Linked DNA regions of Lonchura striata. The protein of the gene in region 4 purifies or fractionates together with the protein of the main gene of each other region. This does not show direct contact. Links are inferred from orthologs where the notes say so. Each region holds a gene or a part of one and is shown on either strand. Other genes may lie near its edges.

Region 1 (7,681 bases), on a different chromosome or scaffold from region 4:
GACCATCTGCAGGTTGACACGGTGCCCCACCAGCTCCCGGATGTTGTTGATGCCGTATTTGATCATGGTGGGTCTGGGGGGGAAGGTGAGATTTGGGGGGTCAGGGGGTGGGATGGGCCCACATTGGGGTCCCCCCCCGCAGGTGAACCCCCCCACTCACCGCTCCAGCGACAGCCCCCAGGCGATGACGGAGACGTTCTCGGGGAGCCCCATGGGCAGCAGCAGCTCGGGGCGGAAGACCCCCGAGTTTCCCACCTCCACCCACTTCTTCAGCCCTGGGGGGCGAGGGGGGCAGACGAGGATCAGCACCCACAGACCCCCTCCCCATATCAGAACCCCACAGCGCTCCCCCCGCTCCAGGGGAGCTCAAGGTCATCCCCAGACCCCCAGCTCTAAGAGAAAACCCCCCCAAGACCCCCCTGCTCCAAGTGGGGACCCCCCCTCACCCTCGTGGTAGCTGAACACCTCCATGCTGGGCTCCGTGTAGGGGTTGTAGGCAGGTTTGAAACGCAGCTGGGAGATGCCTGGGGGGCACACGGGGGGTCAGGGGGGCACACGGGGGGTCCGAGGGGTCCCCCCCAGTGCCCCCCGTGTACCCAGCTTGGTGAAGAACTGCCGGAGGATGCCCATGAGGTGGCCCAGGGTGAGCCCCCGGTCGGCCACCAGCCCCTCGACCTGGTGGAACTCGGCCAAGTGCGTCGCGTCCAGGCTCTCGTTGCGGAACACGCGGTCGATGGAGAAATATTTCACGGGGGCGAACTTCTCCTGGGGTGTGGGAGGGGAGATACACGGGGATGATGGGGGGCAGCTGGGACCCCCAGACTGCCCCACAACTGCTCTGATCCTCCTCAAGCTGCTCCGAGCTTCCTGAGCCCCCAACAACGCTGAGCCTCCTAAACCGATCTGAGCCCCCCGAATCCCACCCGCACCCAAAACCCACTAATCCCCCCCAAAAAATCCCTCTGTTCCCCCTCGTGGGAACCCCCCCAGACCCTGCCTGGGCTCCCAAAGCCCCTCAGACCCTCCCCAAGCCCCCAGACCTGCCGTGCCAGCTGGAACAGGGCGCGGGCGCTGGCTGACGTGGTGTGGGTCCTCAGCAGGTTCTTCCGCGCCTCCTCCACCTTCCACTCATACCTGTACCTGGGGGGGGGGCCAAAAAGGGGCTTCAGAGGGGTGGGGGACACACACGGGACCCCCCTGAATCGCCCCCCAGGGTCGGGGTCTCACCCCTGTGAGCCGTAGCCTCCCTGCGAGTGCACCTTCTTCACCTTGGAGTAGTAGCCAGGGGGCAACTGGGGGGCTTCAGCGGGGTCTGGGGGGGGCAAAAAGGTGAGGGGGGGGGCCTGGAGGGCTTTGAGGGGTGTTTGTGGGGGCTCAGGGGAGCTTGTCAGAGGGGTCTGGGGGATCAGAGGGATGTGGGGGATCAGAGGGGTGTGGGGCAGTGTTGCGGGGCTGTGGGGGGCTTGTCAGAGGGGTATGGGGGATCAGGGGGGTGTGGGGCAGGGCTGGGGGGCTGTGGGGGATCAGAGGGGTGTGGGGCAGGGCTGGGGGGCTGAGGGGGGTTCAGAGGGATGTGGGGGATCAGAGGGGTGTGGGGCAGGGCTGGGGGGTTCAGAGGGGTCCCAGGGGGGTCAGCAGGTCCCCGTGCCCCCCAGCACCCACCCAGCAGGAAGAAGGTGTCGTGCTGGTCACGCGCCGGGTGCTGCTGGGGCTGGAAGAGCGCGTCGAAATTCCAGAAGGAGCTCTCCACAAAATTCTTCGTGGGCATCTCCGTGAACCTGGCGGGGCCCCCCCATGATCCAGAACCCCGAGTACACAAAGTGAGGCCCTGGGGGGCTGCCGGGGAAGGGGCTGGGGCCCCCTCTGAACCCCCATTTGTGCCCCCCAAGGCCGCAGCAGATCGACAACGACGAGCGCAGCCCCGACCCCCTCCCTGCTCCACTCCTCCGACAGCTTTGGGGTCTGAGGGGGGGTCCCCAGGAGCTGCAGGTGAAGCCCCCACAGGTGAATCAGGCCCCCCGGCCCTCCGCTCACCCCATCTCCAGGAAGATCTGGCGCAGCTCCGAGCGCACCTTGAGCAGGGGGTGCAGGTGGCCGCAGGCGGGGGGCAGCCCCAGCGAGGAGAAGTTGTAGGGTTTGAAGGGCAGCTGGCGCCAGGAGCCCCTGCAGGACGGGCCAGGGGGTCACTGCAGGGCTGGGGAGGGGCCTGGGGGCTCGAGGAGGGTCCTGGGGGCTCAGGGAGGGTCTTGGAGGGTCAGGGAGGGTCCTGGGGGGGTCAGGGAAGGTCCTTGGGGCTCAGGGAGGGTCCTGGGAGGGGTCAGGGAGGGTCCTGGGGGGTCAGGGAGGGTCCTGGGAGGTCAGGGAAGGTCCTGGGAGGTCGGGGAGGGTCCTGGGGGGTCGGGGAGGCTCGGGGAGGGATGGGTGTCGCCTACGTGGCGATCATCTCCGGGGTCAGCTCCGTCTCCGGCCGCGCCACCTCCGTGCTGAAGGCGCTGCCCTTGCGGATCCAGTAGGATTTGAGGGTCCTGGGGGAGGGCAGTGAGAGCATCGGTGACCCCCCATCTCCTCGTTAATTAGCGCTAATTTCATTAAAGGTCGGCTTCACGGCGTTTTTATTTAATGCTTCGCCCGCAGGAGTTTGACACAGTTTAATTGGGTTGTTAGATCGCTGAGGTTTTAATTTCGCTGGGGTTAACCGTGACAAACTTCAGTTAAAAAAAAACCCACAAAGGTTTAAAAATGGGGTCGGTGAGGCCCCAAAAACCTGTTAGACTGGACACTGCCAGCCTGACAAAAGCACAACGAAAGGCTCAAAGAGCGTGGACAGAAACGAAAACTGATAAATCAACAACCCCTAATCTAATTAATGAGTGAGACTGTGAAATTTGGAAGTAATTAATTGGCTCTGCCCCACTCACACTTCCAGGAGCAGCTTCCTCCTCTTGAGCTCGGCGCGCTCCCGCTCGGGCAGGGCGCCCCCGGCCCTCACCTGGCCCAGGTGCTCCTGCACCGTGTCCTGCACCGAGGGCACCTGGGGGGCACGGGGCTGGCAGACCCCTCCCCAAATACTCCTGACCCCCAGGGACCCCCGTTTGTCACCCCCGAGGACCCCCACCCATTCACCCCCAGCCTGCTCCCGGCTTCCAGGGATCCCCCCCGCCCCCCGCGGGACATCCCCGGGAATCAGAGACCCCCAGACCCCTCCTCAGGACAACCAGAGACCCCCAGACCCCTCCTCAAGGCACCCCCTGCTCCCAGTGACCCCCAGTCACCCCACCTTGGGCCACTCCCGCCTCCCGGGGACCTCCGTGCCCCCTCCCCGGGGCACTCCCGCCTCCCGGGGACCCCCGCCCGTTCCCCCGGGCCACTCACGGCGCGGAGCACGCGTGGGCCTCCGGCCGCTCCCTTATCCAGCCGCACCCACTTGTTGGCCATGGCCTTGCTGAAGCCCAAGGAGCCCCCGGGCAGCTTCTGCGAGGACACAGCAGCCGTGAGCAGCGCGACGACCGCCGGTGCCGGTACCGCCCCCCGCCCCGGTGCCCCCGGTACCCACCACGGCCTCGCCCTGCGGCAGCCCCTCCTCGGGGATGCTCCGGAACAGCCGCACCTCGGGGCTGCCGTCCCGCAGCACCTCCTCGCCCTCGGCGCTCAGCTCCCATCGTGTGGCCGTCCTCGCCTCCGCCTCGATCACCTGCACCGGCACCGGGGCGGGGGGTCAGCACCGCCCGGTACCGGCGCCCGGGGCTCCCCCCGCGCCGCGGCGGCCGCACCTCGCCCAGCGCCTGCAGGCTCTTGACGGCGCCCACGAGCGCCTGGTGGTCGACGCCGAGCTGGGCGGCGGCCTCGAGGCTGCAGAGCCCCGCGGCAGCGCCGGGCTGGCCCAGCCGCTGCAGCAGTCGCTCCGCCACGCTGGGCGCCATGGCCGGAAGTGAGCCCGGAGAACCGGAAGTTCCGTACGGCGCCGGCAAAGCGCCTCGCTGCGGGCGCCATCTTGGGAGTGGCGCAGAGCCCCGTGCGGAGCGTGGTGGGCGCCATGTTGGGTGTGGCGCGTGCGCGTGTGGGGGGGTCACGCAGGTGGCTGCGGGGGGGCGCAGTGACGTCAGGAAGTTGCAAAATGACGTCACGCTGTCCACCGCGGAGCCCAGCCGGGCTGATATGGCCCAGGGGTTCCTTAGAGCAGCCCCCGGCCCGGGTCCACCATCCTTGCGATCACACCTGCCGCGACCCCACTTAATCCATGACATCACCCCCGCGTCGCGGCGCTGTGTGAAGGGAAAGGCGAGCAGGAGGCCGCCCTACCCCGCGTGCGCCTTGCTCCCTCCCCATATTCCCGATTTCCCCTTAAATTCCCTCCCTCCCACCTCCGCTGCCGGGCCTGTCCCTTTAAGAGCGCGCGCCCCACGTGACCCCCAGAGCGAGGCGGGCGGGGGGGGGCGTCTCCCTCCGAACGCGTGGTCGCTCCTCATTGGCCACCGCGCTCAGCCAATGGGAAGCGGCCATCTGGGACGCCAACGTTCGGGGGCGCCGTCGCCGGCGGCGGGCGGGCGGGCGGCCAATGGGAGAGGGCCGCGCGCGGCCTCGGGCCAATGGCAGGGCGGCGGAGGCAGGGCGAGGGGCGGCGGGAGTATAAAAGGCGGCGGCACCTCCTCCCCCCTCCGCAGTGCCGGGCGGCGCCGGGCCGGGACGGACGGAGCGAGTGTTCCTAAACCCCCTCCCCCGCCAGCCATGAGCCCCCTCGGCGTCCTCGGCCCCGTCCTGTTCGGAGCCCTCCTGGCGGCCGCCGGCCCCACCCAGTTCTTCCGCGAGGAGTTCGGGGATGGAGGTGAGGGAGGGGCCGGGAGGGGGTCGCTGAGGGCGGGGCCTGAGGGGGGGGGGCTTTTGAGGTGAAGGGGTTGAGGGGGGGCGGTGCCTGGGGAGTCTGAGGGGAGTCTGAGGGGGAGGCAGGAGGCTGGGAGGGCCCTCTTGTGTCTTGTGAGGGGAGAGAATGGAGAGACCTTCCCGTCTTTTCTGAAGGGAGAATTAGGGGATCCTCTTGTGGTCTGTGAGGGGAGGGAATGGGAGCACCCCGTGTGACTTGTAAGGCGAGAAAGGAGGGAGCCTGTTGTGTTTTGTGAAGGGAGAGAATTCAGTGACCGCCCCCCCCCTCACCGTGTTCTGAGAGGGGAAAATGGAGTGATCCCGCTGTGTTCTTTAAAGAAATAATGGGGGGGACTGATCTGTGTTCTGTGAGGGGAACAGAACAGAATGGGGGCACTCTGCTGTGGTCTCTGAGGGAAACGAGGAGGGGATCCTCGGGTGTTGTGTGAGGGCAGAGAATGTGGAACGTGCTGCTCCCTGAGGTGACAGGGCGTGCAGGAGCCACTCCTCAGGTGTGGGCAGCGAGTGGGAGTCAGGGCAGGCAGGACGAAGCTGCTGAGGAATCCCTGAGCCAGCAAGGGTCACTGGAGGGACAGGCTGAGGGGGCTCAGCCTCAGCAGAGCAGGTGGACAAGAGAGAAAAGAGCAGGAAAAAGGCTCGTGAGGAACGCAGCAGCCACATGGAGAGGGTTCCTGGCGGGTGGGGGGACTCAGCTTTCCTCTGCGAGCCTAAAACCATCCAGCAAAGAGACCCTGCCCCAAGCCCTGAGCTGGGCGGGCAGGAGGGCTTTGGGGGTGCTGATCCTGCCCCCTCACAGACGCCTGGACCCGCCGGTGGGTGGAATCCAAGCACAAACCCGACTACGGCCGCTTCGTCCTCACCGCCGGCAAGTTCTACGGCGACGCCGAGAAGGACAAAGGTGAGCCGGGGAGCACGGCAGGCGGAGGGGGAAAGACCTCGAGGCTGGGGTTTTCTCCCCCTTCCCCAACCACGCCCCACGTCCCGCAGGGATCCAAACGAGCCAGGACGCCCGGTTCTACGCGCTGTCGTCGCGCTTCGAGCCCTTCAGCAACCGCGACAAGACGCTGGTGGTGCAGTTCACTGTCAAGCATGAGCAGAACATCGACTGTGGCGGCGGCTACGTCAAGCTCTTCCCGGCCAGCCTCAGCCAGGAGGACATGCACGGCGACTCCGAGTACAACATCATGTTTGGTGGGTGTCCCCCAAGCCCCCCAGGGTGGTCTCAGCCCCTTTCCCTGACCCTGAGTCTCCCCCTCGCCCCCCAGCCCCCTTGGGGTGGTCTTTTCCCTAGCACCATGTCCCCCCAGCCCCCCAGGGTGGTCTCAGCCCCTTTCTCTGACCCCATTGCCCCCCCTTTGCCCCTCAGCCCCTTTCCGTGACCCTGTGTCCCCCCCAGCCCCAGTGAGACAGAGTAAAAAATGTAATAAAATAGAAATATATTTAGCGTAACGTGAAATCAGCAAAATAAATATGTATGAGCCTATTACTAAATTTTATGCTTGTAGAAATTAGTCAGGGTTATAAAAAAGGATCAGGAGTTCCACGGGTTCACATGTCCATTGAAAAGTGATGAGTCCCCACATGCATCCACAGCACTGTAAATAAATATACTTTTGCCTACAAATCTTTGTTAAAATGGTGAAATTTAATTTTTCTCCATGTTTCGCCAGGCCCCGACATCTGCGGCCCCGGCACCAAGAAGGTGCACGTGATTTTTAACTACAAAGGGAAGAACGTGCTGATCAATAAGGACATTCGCTGCAAGGTGGGTCTGGGGGCTTTTGGGGGTGGGGGGTCCTGCTGTCCCCTGCTGTGTAGGGTCGGGGGGGGGGTCTGCAGCCCTGCTGAGCCCCCCCTGTGCCCCCCAGGACGACGAATTCACCCACCTGTACACGCTGGTGGTGCGGCCGGACAACACCTACGAGGTGAAGATCGACAACGCCCGCGTGGAGTCGGGGAGCCTGGAGGAGGATTGGGATTTCCTGCCCCCCAAAAAGATCAAAGACCCCGAGGCCAAGAAACCTGAGGACTGGGATGAGCGGGCCAAGATCGATGACCCCGAGGACACCAAACCTGAGGTGGGGAGGGGGCTTGGAGGGGCTTTTGGGGGGGGATTGGAGGGGTTTTAGGGAGGAACCTGGGGGGTCTCCAGGAGATTTGGGGGGGTGTTGTGAAAAGGTCCTGGAAGGATTAGGGGGAGAATGGGGGGGACTGGGTGAGAGGTGGGGAGGCGAGGGTGGTCCTGGGGAGCCACAGCAGCCCCCTGAGCCCCCCAACCCACCCCCCTTGCAGGACTGGGACAAACCCGAGCACATCCCGGACCCCGACGCCAAGAAACCGGAGGATTGGGACGAGGAGATGGACGGGGAGTGGGAGCCCCCCGTGATCCAGAACCCCGAGTACAAGGTGAGGCCTGGGGGGGCTGCTGCGGTGTTGGGGGGCTGCTGGGGGAGGGGCTGAGCCCCCTCTGAGCCCCAACTTGTGCCCCCCACCAGGGCGAGTGGAGGCCGCAGCAGATCGACAACCCCGACTACAAGGGCAAGTGGGTGCACCCTGAGATCGACAACCCCGAGTACAGCCCCGACCCCCTGCTCTACTCCTACGACAGCTTCGGGGTCATCGGCCTCGACCTCTGGCAGGTGAGGGGGGGTCCCCAGGAGGGGTCTCGGGGGGTCCCCAGGAGCTGCAGGACCCCCCCTGACTGCCCCGTGCCCACAGGTGAAGTCAGGCACCATCTTCGACAACTTCCTGATCACGGACGACGAGAAACTGGCGGAGGAGATCGGGAACGAGACCTGGGGGG
Region 2 (6,967 bases), on a different chromosome or scaffold from region 4:
ATTGAGTAATTAGAAAAAGGCACTGTGAACACCAAAAAGGACAGATAAGGAGCACAAGTGACAGATTCACCTTAAGATATTTAAATAGCAAAAACCTGGAAGCAAATATGATGAGCCCTACATTGGTAACTTCAAAGATAAATTCAAAGTTGAAAGCAAAGTACCAAACCAAACCAGTATCTCTATATGATAATACGTATTACTGACGTTTATTGGCACATCTGATGAAATATTTGACCAAACTTCCAAATTCTTGTATTTTTTTCTGTCTTGCAGTTTGGGTTGAAGCAGATGCATTTGGTTTTGTCAGTTGCAGGTTTTTAAGTTCTTTCTGGAAATATTTCTGCAAGACACTTCAAAAATAAAGGAGAGATTAACCAAGGATCTGCTCATTTATGACTGAAGTAAAATAGGAAAATGTTGGTTTAGGCTAAAATGCCAGTTCCTGTTCTTCTCACAATTGTGATTATCAAAGACTAAACCCAACTGAAATACACTACAGTCCAAGCATGACTGGAAAACAGCTTATAAAAGGAGACGCAAGTTTTAAAAATAACCCATAGCAACTTGGAGTAGGAATCAAACTTTCCTTTAAACTTTGCACAGTGCTAAACATACAACTTACAATTAAGAAAAAAGCATTGCTAAGTATTTTTATTTATGCTGCAACATTATAAAACAAAATAATAAGAAGTATTTATCATTGCTTTTACTGCAAAAGCCTTTAAGTCTTATTTCCTTATAATTCGAAGTTAATATATGGATTATGTCTTAGATCTATGAATAAATTACACTTTTCACGGTATTTGTCATGTAATTGCTATAGATTTTCTGGCCTTCTATTTAAATTCATGTCCCATTCAAGAAAATTGTGACCATTCACAAACAAAACCAAGAAGCTACCTAAATACAGCATCCCAGTTGAGTTGCTTTGCTTGTTTAGAATCAGAATTCCGGTCCAGCTGGAGAACTGTTTCAGAATCACGGAGAAGTTGCTTGAAATTTTCAATTTCCTTCTGAAAATGTATTACAAAAAGAATAATTTGTTATGATTCCCTTCATTGCGATTTGAGGTATACTGCCCAAAAGAAAACTTGTTACCCTTCGCTCCACAGCTTTCTCATTTTCAAGGCGACGACAACAAACCAGCAGATCATGTAATGCAAGACTCATGGTTCAGCTTAAAGAAGAGTCATTTATATCTGCACACAGAAGAAATGGATAAAATAGTAATTATTGACCATGCAGCCCAGTAAAAATGTATACTGAAAGTCCAGTATCAAACAGAACCACGATGTTCAATGTTTCACCAAAAAGCTCATTTGCAGCTGGGTCAGTCTTATTGGTTGAAAACTCAAGCAGTTTCATGTCAAGAATGCGATCTATTCCCACAGACAACAGTCACAGAATAACTGCAGAGAACCCCATCACATAATTCTGACTTCCTCCCTTTCCCATGAGCGCTGAGTAGACCTGGGCAGACAATTGAGAGGACAATTATAGTAAGAATGACAGAGCTAAATACACTCTGGCAAGTGGACCTAACTTTCAGTAGCCCTCTTAACCTGATACTGCCAGGAGAAGGCACCGCCTGGAAAATGCTCCCTCACATTGTAAATTTTCATAGGTATGCACTATCTATTGATGAATCCCCAGGGACTAAACATGCCAAAGGATGATTAAGTATCAGTCATATGAAAAAACAACTTTTCCTTCTGTCATCACTTAAAAGTATGCTTCTTCTTCCATAGAGGTTTGAATTAGCTAGACCTTGTATTACATGAAGTTACGATGTTGCAGATCAGAACCATGACATTCTATTTAAATCCTCTGCTTCTACTTTTGCACCCTTAAAGTAGACTCAAGAGAAACCCTGTTTGGAAAAGACAGATCACACAAGCTGGAAGTAACTCCAAACACGTGCTGCTGGATGTAATAAGCAAGGGAGAACAGGCATTCATGATGCACAGCACTGCATCTTGAGTGCTTACATGACAATACAAAAATCGTCATTTAAATAAGCAAAACTTTAAATATCTACTGTCTTAGACTGCATTTATTTCCTTTGGTGTCAATCAAGATCAGGCTGGAACTAAGTAAGATCAGAGATTCGGTGACTCATAGATGTGTGTGAAAAATAATACATTTTAAGTGTGAAGGCTGCCTGTACTGCACAACCGCACTTATTTAAATTAAATGTTCCTTTACTAAATTCAAGAACCATCCTGAGTTGGAAGGGACGCACAAGGATCCCCTAAGTCCAATTCCTGGCCCTGTGCAGGACGCAAGAATCACATCAAATGCCTGAAAGAGTTGTCCGAGCAGCTCTTGCAGTCAGGCAGGTTGGCGCTGAGAGCTCTTCCCTGGGGAGCCTGCGCCAGCGCTCAACCACTCTCTGTCCCTCTGGTGGTTGGGCACCGGAACACAAAACAACCCAACCCAGCAGACTCGATGCTCTTGCTGGAAACGAAACGGAAACAAACTTTTCAAACACCCGCGGCTTCTGATGCGCTTGATCGAAAACTGCGGCAACAAGGGTCGTCTGCTGCCAACAACCATAACAGCAGCACTGAGAAATTCCCAAGAATGAATCCACGTACTCTTTCTCTTGCTGATTAGTTTTCCACCTATCCCATGACGGCCGCCTTCCCGCGCACATGAATGACACATGGGAAGGCGGGCGCACCAAAACCATGAACGGCGGAGAGAGGAGCTGGCGGAGGCGCTGCGAGGTGCCCCGGCACGGGCACGCAGGCAGCGCCGAGCGGCAGCCCTGGCCCCGGCAACCCCGCCAGCCCCGGCCCCGGTCCCGGCAGCCCCGGTCCCGGTAACCCCGGGCCGCCGCCCCTCAGCGCCGCAGCCGGGGCCGCGGCCGCCCCGCCCGGGCCCAGCCCCTCACCTCGGCCGTGGCGCTCGCAGCCCCGCTCCCGGCGGGGCGCAGCGGAGCGGGGCTCACGCGTGGAAGCCGCGGCTGCGGGCGGACCTGGAAGCGGATGAGCGGCCGCGGCGGGTTCCGGCGGAAGGGGCCGGGCGCGGCGCTGGCTGGCGGAGTTTCCGCGCCTTCGCCTGGGTGGCGGGGCGGCCGGCTGCGCCCGCCCGTGCCCCGCTGCGCCCGCCCGTGCCCCGCTGCGCCTCGGGCCATGCTGCTGCCGTCCGACGTGGCCCGGCTGGTGCTGGGTGAGTGAGCCGGGAGGGACGGAGGGATGCCTGGGTGAGGCGCGGAGCACCGGGAGGGCTGTGCCGGGCATTGTCAGCCGCCCGAGGCGCGGCGGGACACGGCCGGCTTCGCCCTTGCCCCTTGGCAACGTCTCTTGGTCCCCCAGGCTGGATTGTCGCTGCCGGCGTTTATACCGGGCGCTGCTGGGCCGGCCCGCCGCCCCCCGGCCCGGCCTGTGCTCGCTGCTGGGGGATTCGGGGCTGAGCGAGCAGGCCGCTCCCCAGCCGTGCCTTGGGCTCGGCTTCTTGGCGAGTCCAGGGAAACGTGGCGGTCTGCGGTGCCCACCTGCACACCGAGAGCTGCTGAGCCGTGCTTCAACAGTTCCTGATTGCAGGAGTCCAAGCGTGACCCGAAATCCCAGGGAGGGCTGCGTTAAGGGTCAGATGGTTTTTCTTTTCGACCGTGTTTCGCTCACTTTTGAGGATGCACTTAAGAGTTCAGACTCGTGATCAGAGTCTATGGAAAGCACTGCGTAAGTGTGTTCAGGACACTGGTAGCAGACAGTGAATCTTTAAAAATGACTTTATGCTTTGGATTATTTGGATTCTGCCAAAGGTGAGAGCAAATTGATGGTAAGGAAAAATATGACTCACATATTTCAGTCCCACATGTACAAAGTACTTATTGGCACAGGTTGCCATGATTTCCTGGCAGCTTGCCCTGTGAGATTCAGTTTTCAGTTTTTTAAAATCCAAAGACATTAAAACTGAAACTCTTCTTAAGTGTTCCCCTAGCACAAGTTATTTTTAAATACTACCTGAACTGTTGCTTGCTACTGTCTTGAGAAAAAGGCTAGTGAGAGATGCAATTTTTTTATTACTGTGAAGTAACAGGATTTTTAGAAACTCCATGGACTGTAAAAGAAAATTTGAATTCATACAAGTGAGATCTCTCATTGCGCTCTTCCAAACAAGATTGGTGAAGTTACAAGTTTCCAGGTAGAAAGCTTTTCTTATGTGCTTACCAGCAACCTGAAGATGTAGCACACAATCTTGGCATCCTGTGTGCTGAGAATGATCCATCCTGTCTTGTGTCTGTTGTGGCACGGAGCATGCATCATGTCTGGAAAACCTCTGAGCAACCTAAAGTTGCAGAACAGGACATTCCTTGTAACCATTTTTATTCTCTAATAGGGATTCCTCTTCTGTGAGACATCTCTGAATTTCAGTGGTAAATAGACTTCCCAGTGCAAGCTCTTCCACCTTTCTCCCCCAAGCCCCCCACAAAATCTTTCTGGTGCTGTGAAAGTTGATGAGTATTTGTTAAAGAAACAAAACTAAAATTATAAGCTGAGCTCACACACAGGATATGCATAAGAACATTTATCTTTTCCTATCTGATAGAGTGAATGTGTACTATGGGTTAGACATTTCTTAAGGTAGAGCAAAATATTGAATAATTTCCATACATTCAAAATCTACGTAGGACACCTTTTGTGCCTTTGATTTTGGTGTCCTATGTCATTATACAGTGTGTGCACAAGCAGTTTGGGCCAGATGCACAGGCATTTTTAGCCTTTGAAATGCTTTATTACCAGGAAACTGGTGTATGTCAAACGTGCCCGTATGCAAACATTCGGTCATCACTTGTGATACTGTAGTAGTAGGTTCAAGAAAGAAAAACGGCAACTTTTTTTGTTAAGTGTTCAGGTAAGGATGATTGTAAGAGCAGTCATACCTGCACAGATCAGAGCTCCTCTGAACCTAATACCCCATCTTCCAGCCTGGACCATAGTGAGATATCATTGTGTTTGTGGAGAAATACACATTCAGCCACTTGTGGCTCGAGATTTTTCTAGGAAAAATGTAATTGAAAAATTAAATAGGATATTCCTTTTCTTTCTGCAGGCACTACTGATGTTTTCTGTCAGGTCAGGCCTGCTTTTACATTGTGATTAAATTCACAGTGGGTATTCCCAGGCTGTGTTTAATTTTCAAGTTTGCCTACTTGTTGAAGACATGAACAAGACTTGCATGATGGAAATACTATTTGTTTTCTTCAGCTGTACTCAGATCTGCTGAAAGATATTTGTTCTCATTTAAACGGCACTTAAAGGGCACATTTTTCTGCAGGTATTCATGAACTGAGGTGGAGCATTTTGGGGGTCCATTGAAATAGATAATGTATATATCCTGCGTTGTACAACTAGGCACATGTTTTATTTTATCCTTAAAACATTCCATGCTAAGCTCTGCTAGGAGCGAGAAGGAAGAAACATTTTCTCTGTGTTTCTTTGTTTTAGAATCCTTCATTCAGATTGGTCTATTTCTATCTTTTAGTGTTTAAGGTGTTTGAAGATTAAAGCAGGGTTAAAATGTTTAATTAAAGCAGAACATATTTGACGAAAAGAAAACTTTGTCAGTACATTTTCTGTGATGGTAACTACTGATTCATAGGGTGTAGAGAGCAAAATTTGCATCTGGTACATCTATCCTAAATGAAAATTTCTGTAAGTGTGTGGGGGGGACCTTTTCTGTTACTAATTTTTGTACAGTGCCAATATTTTTAATATATCTTATCCACTATTGCAGCAGCTGTACAGGTTTTACCTATTTTGAAACAGTACAATGTGTGGAGAATTACTCTTACATAGCAAGGTGTTTCATTAACAAAATATTGTAGATTTCCATTGAAGTATCAAATAGGGTGGTTCAGCCCATATGAGGGTTTGTTTGTCAGCCTTCTGAGCTGAGAACATTTATTTTCTTGTGTGTAAAGATAAACTAAAATTTGTTCATATTGCCTCACTTCCAGTTTTGAGTACTTTGAAAATACAATGTCATTACAATCTATATTTTTTTCTCTTCTGGGTTTTAACTGTTAAATATCTGGTAGGAACGTATGTATTTTCAAAATAATGACACTTCCCTTTTATTACATGGAAATTTTTATCTGATTATTCCAGCACTGTATTCAGATTTGATACCTATTGAGCAGAAATAATGAATGAAATAGCAAAATTTTCCATCTAATTTGTTGCAGGCTATTTGCAACAGGAAAATCTTCAAGCTACCTGCCATCAATTTATTCTGGAAAGTTCAGATTTGAAAGAATATGCAGAGCACTGTACAGAAGATGGTTTTATTCCAGCCTGCTTGCTGGTGAGTTTGTATTTGCAAAGCAGAAACTTACATTGTCTTGCATCCATGGAAAACAATATAGTGGATTTCTCAGTGCAACAATTAATTCTCAAATGCTGCTTAAAATGTTTGATATTTGATTTGTTTAGTGTTTTTTTCATCCTGTGATATTAGCAGTTATTTGGTTTCTAGTATTTATGCTTACTAAGAAAAATGTAAGCGTGAAATATGCAAATTGGTTTCAGAATATTATGCTTAGGCTGCTTTACAGCTTTGAGGTTGATTTATGGAAGGGTGTTGTCACAAGGGTTTTCTTGATTTTAGGGCTACTTCTGTAATTTACAAGATCACTTTCCTATTCTAGGCATGGCAGCCAATAATTTTCCATTTCAGGTGCATTGTAAGTATTTAGGTAAGGCACCTCAGATTTATTTAAGTCTAACAAATTTGATTGACAAAAATTGTGTTCAGCCTCCTCTCTATTTGATATCATCTGCATTGTTCCGGGTGAAAGGCAGGATTTTGGGTGTGCATAAATAGTGTGTAGCCACATCTCTAGATACATGTGTAGAGCTCTAGACCATAATTAGATAGTTTGCATTTTAAACAAATTTACAAAATGGAATTTTTACTATACTTTGTAAATCACAGGATTGAGGTATTGCTGTTT
Region 3 (7,355 bases), on a different chromosome or scaffold from region 4:
ATGTTGCCTACCCTCACACCTCCTAACTGCACACCGGGAGAGGTCTTGTTTCAAGTTTCACACTGCTGTTGCAAACAATGCTTTGCTGAAAACTGTAAATACTTCATGATAAAAAGCATGGTTTTAGCTGTTCACTATCTTTCATCCAAAATTCCTGCATCTTGAGAGTAATTTACAAAATTACTAGCCCCCTTTTTAAGCTCTCATATGACAAGTAGGAAGTTAAAACTACAGGCGATTCCAGTGTTTCATAACTTATATGGCTCAATTAGTTATTTTTCTGGAAAACAAAAAAATTAACAGAGGTGTGGTCCTCAAGGTTTATGGCATCTTGAAAAGAGATACCTGATCACAGCCTTAATCTGACAATCACTGGATAAACAGCCATGATGTTACTATTTCCTTTATCTTATACCATGCCTCTAACAGAGGTTGCCACCTACAGACTATCTAAGTATAACTCCATCCAATTAATTATAAATTCAGTCTAGTTAACTCAAAACATGCTTAGGAGCAGCTTAATTGAGAAGGAACAGAAAATTTCTGGCAAGAGGACAATATCTAAAATGACCACAACAAACTTCAGTGATTACACATCAATACTGGTTTTGCTGCTGAAAGCTTAGTTTCATGCAGGAATGGGACTTGCTTAGCTCAGGTGCACAGGAAGCCAACCAATGCATCCATAAAAACTCTGCACCAAAGTCATTCCACTCACTTATGTTGCTACTCCGAATCAATACACTATCTGTGTTAAGCAGTTAAGTTAAATCATGTTAAAAATAACACTGAAGGAAGTTTGAGGAACATTTGTTTGGTTTTGTTGTTTTAATTGACCACAAGGGAACAAATGCAGTCCCTATAGTTATGCCTCACACATCAAGAAGGTTCTTGTCAAGCAAGGAAGATAAATATACAAGTGGGGGGAAAATAAGAATTCACATTTAAAATCTGAACTGGGGTTTTATTAAAACCTCACTTGTTCAGAAATATTTCTGTACACAAAGGCATGTACAAAAGGGTGGGCCCTTTATTTTGTACATAAAGGCATTTTAGCCATTTCTTTTATACCATATCTTATTCAAACACAGAAAGCACATTTTTAATAACTTAATTATGATATGCTAGGTGTTTTTTGGCATGAATTACATGAAACCTTATTTTGAAGTAAACACAGCCTGAAGACCTTCACAGAATAGCCAGGATTTCTCACTACCTGTAAGCCAAAATGCAGCTGGCACCCTCACCTCTCCAGCTCAGCCTTGCTCACTCCACAGCCCCTTGGAAAAATCTGACAACCTCCAGTACAATGCCAAGCAAGGGACCAGCACAGCCCAGAGAGAAACAAACTCTGCTTCCAGTACCCACACAACTATGACTGGGAGATGACTTTAGCACAGCAAGTTAGCAACGCGCCCATCAGTGCCATTAAAAAACACTGACTGCACCAATAGCTCCTCTGTTTTGCTAATCTAAACCGTCTGCCCATGCTCATTTCTCACTGGAGTTGGCTATTCATAGCTCATCTGGTTGTCCGAGTTGTACTAAACAACACTCTCAGTACTCCAGTTCCAAGCAACACTTCAAAAGAAATGAGCTTTGTTCTAAAGAATTTATCCTTAAAGAATTTTGCAGATGTCTAACAAAGCAGGGAATACTGGGATTTTTGACTCAACCAGGAACTTAAGTGCCAGCAGGCGACTCGAGTATTATTTCAACAGTGTTCACTTAGAAAAACTGAGAAATAAGGACATGCAATGCTTGTGGGAAACACAATTTCAAGGAAGCAAAATTTTCAAGCAGACACTGCTCGTTTGCAAACACTACATTTTACACAGGTTACAAAAACACCTAACACTGTGAGATGCAAAATTCATTAGATTACTTTTACAAGTAAAAAACAAAAAACTATGCTAAAGTGTAGTCTCAAAGTGAAAAAACCCAACCAATCAAAAAACCGAAGCACCAGCTTCATGAGCATTAATGTCCTTTGCAGCACGAAGTGCCGGTGAGATCCTTCAGAGCCATAAACATGGGAAAGGGAAGCCAACACACTGTTTCAAAAAGAGTAGTCCAGCACAGCTTATGTACTTAAGTAGCATGTTCAAATACTGACAGGTAACAAGGCTGTTCAGACCGAGTAAATAAAGTCTTATTTTTAAAGTATTTGCAACAATGATGCATTTAAACAAAACTTTTCAAGATTTAGTAAAGGCTTTCGACAAAAGTTAATTCAAGAAAAACAACGTCTGAACAACAAAACTTTGGCTAGTTTCCCCTTTAAGCACTTGACAAGCGTTATTCCCTCCGTGGAAGTAGGAAGCGCAGAGCCGAGCGCTGCGGGTGGGCGCAGCTGTCCCTGCCGGCTCCAGCACATCATGCGCTACCCAAGATCTAAGGGCGCGCTGCGACAGCGACGCGTTCGCTGCTGAGAGCGTTCCTCTGCGCCCGCGGACAGAGCGGACCGCGCACAACCGCAACAGCCGGGGCTGCTGCGGCTTTAAGAGCCCGGAGGGACCGAGCAGGGACCCGACCCGACCCACAGCCCCGGGAGAGGCGCGTCCCGGCCGCCCGTCACATGCAACCCTGATCCGCACGGCTGGGCGGAGCGGGCCGGCCGCCCCCCACCCCCACCCGCCGGGCCCGCCCCCGGCCCCTCCCCGGCGCCGCTCCCGCGCCCGCGCCCGCCCGCTTTGCCCGTGGAGCAGCCCCGCCATGGCCCCCGCCCCCCTTCGCTCCGCCGCGCCAGCTCCCCGGGCCCGTCCCCGCCCGCGCCGGGCCTGCCCGCAACCCGCGCCGCCCGTCCCCTCGCGGGGCCCACGCAGGAGCGCTCGGCGCGGCCGCGGAGCGCCCCTGCCCCGCGGGGCGGCCCCGGCACTCACCGGAGCGGGGCCGGCGCGGCGCAGCTCGGGCCCAAGCAGCGACGGCAAATGGCGCGCGCTCCTCCTTCTCCTCATGGACGGCGGCGCGACCCCGGCAGCACGCGGGGTTTCCCGGAACTGTTTCCAGGGACCGCTGCTTCGCCCACTCAGAAACCCGCGCTGCGGACGGGCAGCCGGCAGAGCCAATGAGATGCGAGAGGCGGGACGCGCCATTCCTCCGGGCGGCCAATGAGAGGGAGGCGCCGTAACCAATCGCGGGGCGCCTTCCACCCGGCGCGCCGGTAGGGCCGGACTGGGGGCATTTAAAGGGGCAGCGCCTCCCGCGGCCCGAACAAAGGGAGCGCGCGGGGCCGCTGCGCTCGGCTCCGCCCCGCGCGCAGGGCGGGACCGGGGCTGAGGGGGCGACACCGGGGCTGCCCCGGCGCTGCTCCCCGCGGTGCGCCCCGCGGTGCGCCCGGGACCCGGGGCTGCTCCCCGCGGTGCGCCCGGGACCCCGGGGCTGCTCCCCGCGGTGCGCCCGGGGCTGCGGCTGCCCCTGTTCCCCGCGGCGCGCCCGGGACCCCGGCGCGGCCCTGTCCGCCCCTGCGGCCTCTCGCTCTCTCCGAGCCTTTGCCTTGTGTGAGCCCCCGGACCGGGGCTGGCCGCGATGCCCTCCAGGCCCGAGGCGAGGAGGAGAAGCCATGCGGCTGCGGGAGCTACGGGTCAGGCTTATCTCAGGACACAGCTCTACAGCTGCTAATCTGTAATTAACCGGAGATTAAGTCTTACTTGCCTGCTCACCAGATTTTCTTGATCAGGCTCTTGATGAGTGCCGGCTGGACACAATAAAGAGATAAGTGAGGAAGACATCAGCCTGTTGGCACCGATGGTGTTGGGCCGGCTTCACGTGCTTGTCATGCTGTTGCATAACGTGGAAGTCAATGTGTGCTGGGTTGGGTCAGGCTGAGTCCCAGAGTGCTGTGTGAAACTAAACCCAGAGCACCTGCACGTGTTCCTACGGTCATGTCAACTGTGCGGCTGGAATCTGTGCAAACCACAGTCGCATCTGGTGCAGATGCAACTGTGCCTCTGGAATCTAACAAAAGTAACAGCTCATGTATTCTCAGAGAAGGATCTTCAGTACTTTCACCCCAAAATTACTTTCCTAAAGATGGCATGTGTCTGTGTGGTGACTATCGTATGTGTGATGTCCCACCACTGGTGATGTGGGACTTGTGGAAATGTGGTATGTTATGTCCAATGTTTCCAAGTCAGAAGCTGGAGACAGATTCTGGAGGTGTTCAGTCTGTCTTGCTGAACCTGTCTGGTGACAGACATGCTGCTTCTCTTGTAGAATTGGCAGTGCCTCAGTGACTTCCCTCTTGAGATCTGGCAGTAGAGCCAGCTTTTCAGTGCTGGGTATTGGGTCTACTGTGGTGTAGAGATGGAAAGAGGGGTAATCATTCATTGCCTTGTCCATCCCAGTTCACTGCAGTGTTTTTTTCTGGTAGTTAAGAATGATGGGTTAAAGGAGTTCTCACAATACAAATATTGAGAGGAATTGAGGGAACTTAACATTATTAGGGGTGCTTAAAAATGTCCTGTAAAGCTCTTAAATATTTTATAATATAGTAACTAGGAATGAATAATGAAGTATAATGACATATGTCCTGTCAGCTGGCAACTGAACATGATGAGGCTAATAAGCAAAATGTATCTTGAGAATAATTTCCGGAATATCTCTAGCAACTCCCACCCTAGGTTATGTGTGCTTTGCACTGCTTTGTTCTTTGGTCTCATGTTACACACTACAGCCTCAGCCCAAAATGATCTGACACCTCTAGCCAGGAAGAAGCTATAGCCTGCAGGTATTTGGGTTAGTGCCAGACGGCAAGCAATGCCTGAGAGGAGGCCCTAGATGCTCTGAGATGATGTAATTTAAATTTTGGATAGATTTCTCAATTTTAATCTTTGCTAGAAAATCCCAGAATGCGACTAGTTACAGCTCTCTGTGATGGGAGCTGAACAGGTACATGCAAGATCTGATTTAGTCCTGGGCCAAGACAAAATAAATTTGTTTTGGAACCAAGGAGAGGATTAATCTCAGCTGCTGAGAGCTGGGAGGGGAGGATGCCCTGACCATGCAGAGGGAGAGCCTGCCTGGCAAGGAGGCTGCCCTGCTCTGCTCCTTCAGCACCCCTTTGGGGACAGAGCAAAGTGAAGGGATCCAGCTTTTCCACTTACAACTTGTTGGCATTTTCCTGTGTTCAGTGGCCAGAGGTTGCTGAAGCTCAGCGTGTTCCCATCAGTCTGTCGCTTCCCTTCCACACTGGGCTGAAATTCCTGGGTGTTCCACATCAATGGCAAGATGACAGAGTTGAATCTGATGTAATTTGTAGGTGAGCTGTTAACTTATAGATGGAATATTACATTTCCTGATGCTCTAGACTTCTTACCCTGACCAATCATTAGTGTGCAGCATATAATGGATGATATATTACAGATGTGCCCACCTCCAGTAAATACCTTGTTCTCTGGAGCTCTCAGAGAACAGCTCCTACATGTTTGCTAAATCCCAGGCTTTCAGGGGGAGGTCTGTCTTAAAAATCTTCAAGCTTTATTTATCAGTAAGAAACTTTCTGAGCGCCCTCAGTGTGTTCCACGACCTCTACAACAGGGAAATGCTCAGAAAAATTTCTGCCTGCAGAGGCCATGCTACTGTTATTACCCTGTGCACATATGTTTATTTTGCCTCACACAGGCAGTGTAGTTGATTTTTAGGAAAACACACACATGTGCTTTGTCTTTGTCTTGCCTCTTTCCCTTTATCTGCTCTGGAGTGGGAAGGTTGAGTGTGACAAAAAGGCCCAAAGAGACCAGACTGGGCTACCTGGGTGCCTTGCATTAAAACCAGCTTGCTAAAGATCTTGGATCTCACGTTCCTTTCTTTTCATTTTTTTCCCCCACCCCTGAGCCAAGGATTATTTGCAATTTCCATCACATTTGTGTAGGATGCAGCAGAAACCAAGCAACTTGGGAAATAGCTTCTGTTTGCTGCAGCAAAAATCACCAGCTCAGTTTTAGCTGAAAATAAATTGCACTTTTCTTTCTCCTGCAGTAGCTAAGTAGTGCTGGGCTGTGATCTTTTGAAGCACAGTACAGACAGAGGATCTGGTGTTAAGGATAAGCATCTGCTCCAAGAAGTGAAACTCTTCATGGAGCTGCACTGTAGGTGGCTATGGGAAGTCAGGGTGTTGTGAATAGGGTCAATCCAACCCTGAAGAACTAGCAAATAATCAAGATGCACCAGTTCTGGCAGAGAAGAGAGAAGAATCCCTTCCTTTGTGTACCCCTGTGCCTGGGGGACAAAGCAGGGGACTAGTCATGCCATCAGCCATTCCAGAGCAATTGAGGAAACCCAGAACAATTAGTCCCTCTGTGGCCTGTGATGTGAGTTCAGCACTATCCTTGCAGCCTTACCTGTTTCAAACATCAGCTTTGGGTTTTGGTTGCTCTGAACCAGAATTAGATGGCAGATGTTTGTTGCTTTCCAAAAGAAAACTAAGCCCTGTCTTCCAGCTTGCACAGACTGAGGGGGAATCCTGGAAAGGTCTCTTGACAACTTGTGCCTTTTTAACTCCCCAGCAACCACCCAGTCTGAGGTATAATCTTATTTTACTCCCCGGCATTCCTGCTCTGGAATCCTGCAGCAAACAGTCTGTAGCTGGCATCTCTCCATCCACAGGCCCTGGAAGTGGTGAGTGAACCCAAACTGCTTGCTGCAAGTCATTTAAATGTTCATGTCATTTGCTGGTGGGCAAGAAAGCTCTGTGGTGTAGCAAGGTACTGACTTGCACACTGCAGCCCTGAGGGAATTCAGCAGTGGTACAAAGGTCCAAATCTCTGCATTCCCAGTCTCATAGCAAATCCTCCCCCTTACAGGTGCTTGGGCAGAGGCTCTGTGGCTGAGTTTACATGGCATAGTTAGTACACCAAAATGCAGAATAAAACCCAGAGATGTGAATTTAAACCCTCATCTGTTCCTTTCTGAATACAGAGTTGGCCTAATATTTATGTCAGCTCTCCACAGTTCACTGAAGCTGTTAGTGCCAAACTTCTCACTAGTGACTCTGCAACTTTTGGGGAAGCCAACCCTGGAAAAACATTCTGAAAAAGGCAAAAAAATGGATTTTTAAATAGTTATAACCCAAACCCAATAGTATATTGCTTTTCATGACTCAGTTCATCTCACCAGGTTCAGAGAGGTGGGGAGGGTGCTTGTAATTTGTTAATTAGCCCCAAATAAAAGGAACAAAGCCCACAGGAAGCTCTGCACACAGCCTTGGCAGAACTCACCACACCACAGACTGAGCATGGCCAGGCAAGGACACTCCATAGCCTCTCTTCCAGGGCTCATCACATGGGTGACATATTCATTGAAGAAGAGGGTTTAAGGACATTAGAGTGACAGTGGTGTCACTCACTCTGCAGATA
Region 4 (5,151 bases):
AAATCCACACACAGCTCTCTGTTCACTGAGAGCTTATAAAAAAAAGTCAGGAGGTTAGCTTAAGAAGATTCCCAAAGCACGAGTAATTGATTCCAAGGAAAACATGAGCACAGCAGAGTGCCTTGTCACTCTTGCTCAAGACAGCCTTTTGGTATGTCCTGTTTTTCAGTAATACCAAGTAACAGTCTCAGAGTTGTCACCAGCAAGTGGGCTTCTGTAAGCATGGCACACGGCTCAGCAGTTTCTCAGTCTGAGGGGCATGTGGGAGCATTTGGAAGCCACTTGGAGCATAAGGATATGCTTCACAGATCTTGCCACTGCCTCTATTCAGCATGTGAATTTTTGAGCATAGTGTAGTAAAAACATCACTTTTTGGAAAGGCCTGCATTGATTAACTGCCCACAATAAAATCCTTCTTTTCATCTTCAGATTTAGGATAAGGTATTCTTACTAGGAAAGAGACAGGCAGTTTCTGATTTGAGAGGAAAAACTTGCAATGAAAGCCTGTTGAGGGCTCAGGCAGATGACATCGGGGATGGGAGAAGACAGGAAGTACATAGCACTTACCCAGTCACAGCAGAGAAGTCCAGACAGCACCTTATAGTAAGGATGCTGAATTTCAGCTTTGACATAAGGTATTTTCTAATACAAACCACGGGGTTTATGTTACAATACAGGCTCCTTAAGGGAGAAGGAGTTACTCCAACTTTTATCTCATCCACGTGTTCTTAGAATGTGATTGTGTGCAGGAACATGGAGAAATCTCCCACTGATATCTAAAATCATCAGAGAAAGAAACAATGTCTTTGGTTGGCCTGCCATTTATCTTCCTATACCTAAAAGAAGTAGCCTTTTAGTTGCTCTTTTATGAAACAAGGCATACTGGAAAGTTTAGCAAATCCATTTGGAAAAGAGGAATCTGACAGCCTGTAAACCATTTGACAGTATAATGTTTCTGTTATGTGTCTGATTTTTACCTAGGTCCTTGGCAGCACGATTGCATTTTCAATCCGGTACCAACTAGTGCGCTTGTTTTATGATGTCTGACTGGACTGTTGGGAGCAAGGGAAAGAGTTCTACCTGCCATCTCCTCCAGTTGCTTGACCAAATGATTCAACTGATGTTGCTCCTGCCTTCTGGGATCCTCAGAATACCTGTCAAAATGCAAGCAACTGCTTTGCATGGGCTAGTTTTGAACCAGGATGTTCTTTGTGCACCAAAGGCTTTTGTCCAATTCTGTGGTAGAAAAGATTCACTGCTACTTGGACATCGGTGTTATTAAGAATACATTTTAGAGGGGAAGCAAATGACAGCACTTAGGGAAAGTGGGAAAGATGGAATCTCTATACATCTAGCAAAGTCATTACTGTTCACCAAGAGAGAAAACAGCAACTTTAATTTCTGTGAGGAAAATAAGGAAACCAGACTCCGTTCCTGGCTTCTCAATCCTGTTTTTGGTCCATGGACATAGAATGACATGTTATAACCCATACTCAAAGCTCAGAGTGCTCCAAGAATAAAACAATTCATGGTACCCTTTCCCCTGCAGTGCTTTGCCTCGACAATATTGACAGGCAGTGAAACTAGGTTATATCCATCTGTAGCTTTCTACCCTCTTAGGCAGTTGATCATTTCTGCAGTGGACTCCCTATTTTTTATGGCTACTGGAAATGTTCCTGCTGATGAGGTTTTAATTCTGAATACCTTTATAGTCTGCCTTCCTCCCTGGAAGAGGACATGCTAGCAGAGTGAGGATCACCACATCCTTGTCTTAAGAGGGAATCAATAGATCCTTTATTAATGTAGAACTAAGGCCCTGATTGGCTAACTGCCAATCCCTTTTCCTCGATTACAAATAGCTACTTATAGAGCAGTATTTAGCACCAGTTGAACACAGAATTGCTACAGAAAAAACATAGAACAGCCATTGGGGTACCAGATTATAGTCTTTGCACCTCCCAACACCCAAGTTCGGCTAGTAACAAGGCTTGGAATGCATTACCAGAAGGCAAAAATGCCTGTGTCCAGCAGCACTGATCAACACAGAAAACACACAGCACTCAAGTATGAATGGTACAAGTGGCTGAAGCCTCTTCCTTCCCTCCAGCAGATCAGTTTGTAAGTCTACTAGTACAGTGTATTCATCACCACATCCACATAGACATCATGAAATTGAAATGAACAGGGTCCATGCCTTTATTAGTGTTCAGCTCTATTAAAAAGTCAGCTCGGCACAGGGGTGGTGTAGCTTCTTCCGGTAGCCGAAGGGTGAGAAGGCTGCAGAGTCTGTCCCTGGAGTGGCACGCTGGTAGCCGGAGGTGCAGAGGTGTCCAGTCTGTATCTGAAGTCCCAGCAGACCATCCTCTCTCCTTTCCTCCGAAGGCTGGGGGGATGTGCAGAGCCTGCTGCTAAGGTCCAGCAGCAGCTATCCCCCTCCTGCCCTCCTGGTAACACCAGGTAAAGTGTCTGATTCCTTGTGCCTGCTTCCCACAGCCCAGTCCAATCTGGTCCTCAGCAGGTCATGGTGACAGGTCAAACACAGACTAGGGATGGGCTTCCCTTTTCCCCAACCAGCACACCCATCCAGCCCCCTCCACTGTGCCCCTCTTTTACATTTAGGGGTGTTTTTCATCCCCAAAACCCCCTCCCATGATTCCACTGGATTCTTCTGCATCCCAGTCCTAGTTTGGGTGGGGGTGTAGGTGATTCCCAGGAGCAATTGGGTAATTAACATTTCAATGTCAGTACTTAGTTCGAGCCAAGTGTCCCAGCCAGGCTGTTTTGTTCATAACAAAATCATTCAGTTCCTGGCCTTAAACAGTCTGTCCAGTAACCAGCTGCTAGATTTCCTGGTATCAAGGAATATGAACAGAGAAATCTCTCTGCTAGCTGACCTAGGAATGTGGCCTTCCAATAGGTACTTCTAGGACAGCCACTCCATTTTCCTCAGAAAGTTGGCTTACCTCCAGTAAGCATCCTGCTGCTCCCGTATCTGGTCCTGGGCTCCAAAGCCCATTATCCTACTTGCTGTCTAGGTCTTGCTCCTTCGCTAGGGATGACTCACACTTGCATTCCACCTAGCCCTGGGCCCTTCCTGCATGTGCTGAAGTCTTCCCATTTTCTGGAACGACACTGGCTGCTCTGATTTGTGTCCTAATCCTAGTTGCTGGCAACTGGACCTCCAGAGGCACACAGCATAGACAGTCTGCTCACTCTGGGGGAAAAAACATACAAGTTGGGTTAATTAAGACAGCACAGACTGCAGAGATAATTCTTACTGATCAGCAACATTTTAAAACATTACCACTTTCTTCACTTTTATTTTTCCTTCAATGTTCCCATGGGTTTTTTTCTCCTAGTCCACTTTGACTCCTCACTCTCCTTTGGTGCTTCTCTTAATATACCTGTATTATAAACCCATGATGTATCTCACACATTGACAAAAGGATCTCATGGTAGGTTTTTTCATATCCCTAACTGTTCTTCCCCCCATGTGCCACCCTAAGGTAAATGCCCAACAGACAGGGATACCTTTCAGTCTGTAGGCATCCCGGGAGCCCCTCTACCTTGCCCTGGGTGGAAGCCAGGCGCAGGGACTGTCCCCAGCCCTCATAAAGCACGGTGCGCCCTGAGGGCGGCACGAGAGGCGCGGAGGGACCGGCGGCAGCGCGCATGCTCGCTGAGGGCCGGCGGCAGAGCCCCAGCGATCGCTCGGCGTGGTTTAAATTTGGCGCCTCGCTTGCTGATTGGCCGGACCACGCGGCCAACACATTCAGAGCAAGCGCGTTGGTATCACAGAAGCGACCAGTCAGCAAAAAGCTTCTTCCGGCAAACGCACCAATAGCTAGGGGCGGCGGCGCTGTCCAATGAGCTGGCCCCTACTTGGCGGGAGGTTATAAAAATCCCGGCCGCGGCCTCCCGGGCGCATCGGTTCAGCAGCGCGGCGAGCGCCATGTCCGGCCGTGGCAAGAGCGGCGGCAAGGGCCGCGCTAAGGCCAAGTCTCGCTCGTCCCGGGCCGGGCTGCAGTTCCCGGTAGGGCGCGTCCACCGACTGCTGCGGCGCGGGCACTACGCAGAGCGGGTGGGGGCGGGTGCGCCCGTGTACCTGGCGGCCGTGCTCGAGTACCTGACCGCCGAGATCCTGGAGCTGGCGGGCAACGCGGCTCGCGACAACAAGAAGACGCGCATCATCCCCCGTCACCTGCAGCTGGCGGTGCGCAACGACGAGGAGCTCAACAAGCTGTTAGGCGGCGTTACCATCGCGCAGGGCGGCGTCCTGCCCAACATCCAGGCTGTGCTGCTGCCCAAGAAGACCAGCAAGAAGGGCAGCCGGCAGCAGTCGCAAGAGTACTAGGCCGGCCGGCCCTCCCGGCACAATTCAAAGGCCCTTTTCAGGGCCACCTCATTGCTCACTGGGAGAGCTGCGATCCGCGGAGGAGGCGGGAGGAGGGCAGGGCGCGAGAGGCGTGGCCGGCCGCGGGGAGCTGGGCCGGGGGGAGCGGGCAGTAACCGGCCCGGGGTCAGTCAAGACACTGAGCCTGAGAGCTGCTCAGTAAGGAGCCGTTATTTTCATTCCTACCTACCTCTGGGACATGCAGTGGACGTTGTCTGGAAAATAAAACTTTATTTACAAAACAGGACCCCCGGTGCTGTTACAGTATTTCTTCAAGGCACTGTAACAATAAAATCCTGCTCAGAGGATGCTGACCCAGTAGCAAGAGCAGGAAGCCAGTGTCTGGAATCTGGGCTTCTGCTTCAGCTCCCCCTTCATAGGCAAGTCTAGCTAATTGGCTCTCGTGACCTTTGTGGATAAACATACAAGGGAAGCCAATCTAGCTAGTCTAATATATATGTGTATGTATGTATTGTATCAATCTAATACCACCCAATTGGCTAGTATAATGGTGAACGTAATTAGCCTTTGCCAAGACCAAGGGTGAATGTAGCATCTCTGCTCCTTTACTATAAGGAACATGCTATCAGGAATCTAATGGGAACCTTTGGTGATCCAGTGAGTGAAAAGGCCCAGATAATGACTCCCGAAAACACTCAGCACAGTACGGCATTTTAGTACCAGCGCAGTTGTGTATCCGATTATAACCCAACAGGCACTCTGCTCCTAAATGGAATTGAACACTTAAAGGCTTTTAT

What was found.
Region 1: the proteins of H2AX (region 4) and CALR purify together in Homo sapiens (affinity purification with western blotting; 3 studies listed by BioGRID and IntAct, with this or other methods). This does not show direct contact. The link is inferred for Lonchura striata from reciprocal best matches to the Homo sapiens genes H2AX and CALR.
Region 2: the proteins of H2AX (region 4) and ATM purify together in Homo sapiens (affinity purification with western blotting; 11 studies listed by BioGRID and IntAct, with this or other methods). This does not show direct contact. The link is inferred for Lonchura striata from reciprocal best matches to the Homo sapiens genes H2AX and ATM.
Region 3: the proteins of H2AX (region 4) and HNRNPR purify together in Homo sapiens (affinity purification with mass spectrometry; 3 studies listed by BioGRID and IntAct, with this or other methods). This does not show direct contact. The link is inferred for Lonchura striata from reciprocal best matches to the Homo sapiens genes H2AX and HNRNPR.

Annotation. Positions count from the first base shown.
Region 1 is NC_134623.1:1,279,496-1,287,176, forward strand, and holds the start of CALR (calreticulin), read left to right. Parts: upstream 1-4,667; 5' UTR 4,668-4,725; coding exon 4,726-4,822; intron 4,823-5,674; coding exon 5,675-5,776; intron 5,777-5,865; coding exon 5,866-6,069; intron 6,070-6,548; coding exon 6,549-6,643; intron 6,644-6,746; coding exon 6,747-6,956; intron 6,957-7,170; coding exon 7,171-7,284; intron 7,285-7,373; coding exon 7,374-7,517; intron 7,518-7,596; coding exon 7,597-7,681. Other genes in the region: FARSA (phenylalanine--tRNA ligase alpha subunit), read right to left, coding at 1-73, 161-275, 447-524, 597-765, 1,041-1,140, 1,228-1,312, 1,663-1,778, 2,035-2,163 and 5 more. UniProt on the Homo sapiens protein: Calcium-binding chaperone that promotes folding, oligomeric assembly and quality control in the endoplasmic reticulum (ER) via the calreticulin/calnexin cycle.
Region 2 is NC_134604.1:44,467,443-44,474,409, reverse strand, and holds the start of ATM (serine-protein kinase ATM), read right to left. Parts: upstream 3,010-6,967; 5' UTR 2,900-3,009; intron 1,203-2,899; 5' UTR 1,174-1,202; coding exon 1,102-1,173; intron 1,017-1,101; coding exon 904-1,016; intron 354-903; coding exon 208-353; intron 1-207. Other genes in the region: protein NPAT, read left to right, coding at 3,141-3,177, 6,200-6,318.
Region 3 is NC_134628.1:5,309,204-5,316,558, forward strand, and holds the start of HNRNPR (heterogeneous nuclear ribonucleoprotein R), read right to left. Parts: upstream 3,027-7,355; 5' UTR 2,958-3,026; coding exon 2,883-2,957; intron 1-2,882. UniProt on the Homo sapiens protein: Component of ribonucleosomes, which are complexes of at least 20 other different heterogeneous nuclear ribonucleoproteins (hnRNP). hnRNP play an important role in processing of precursor mRNA in the nucleus.
Region 4 is NC_134625.1:11,116,728-11,121,878, reverse strand, and holds H2AX (histone H2AX), read left to right. Parts: upstream 1-3,934; 5' UTR 3,935-3,952; coding exon 3,953-4,354; 3' UTR 4,355-4,640; downstream 4,641-5,151. Other genes in the region: DPAGT1 (UDP-N-acetylglucosamine--dolichyl-phosphate N-acetylglucosaminephosphotransferase), read left to right, coding at 982-1,047. UniProt on the Homo sapiens protein: Variant histone H2A which replaces conventional H2A in a subset of nucleosomes. Nucleosomes wrap and compact DNA into chromatin, limiting DNA accessibility to the cellular machineries which require DNA as a template.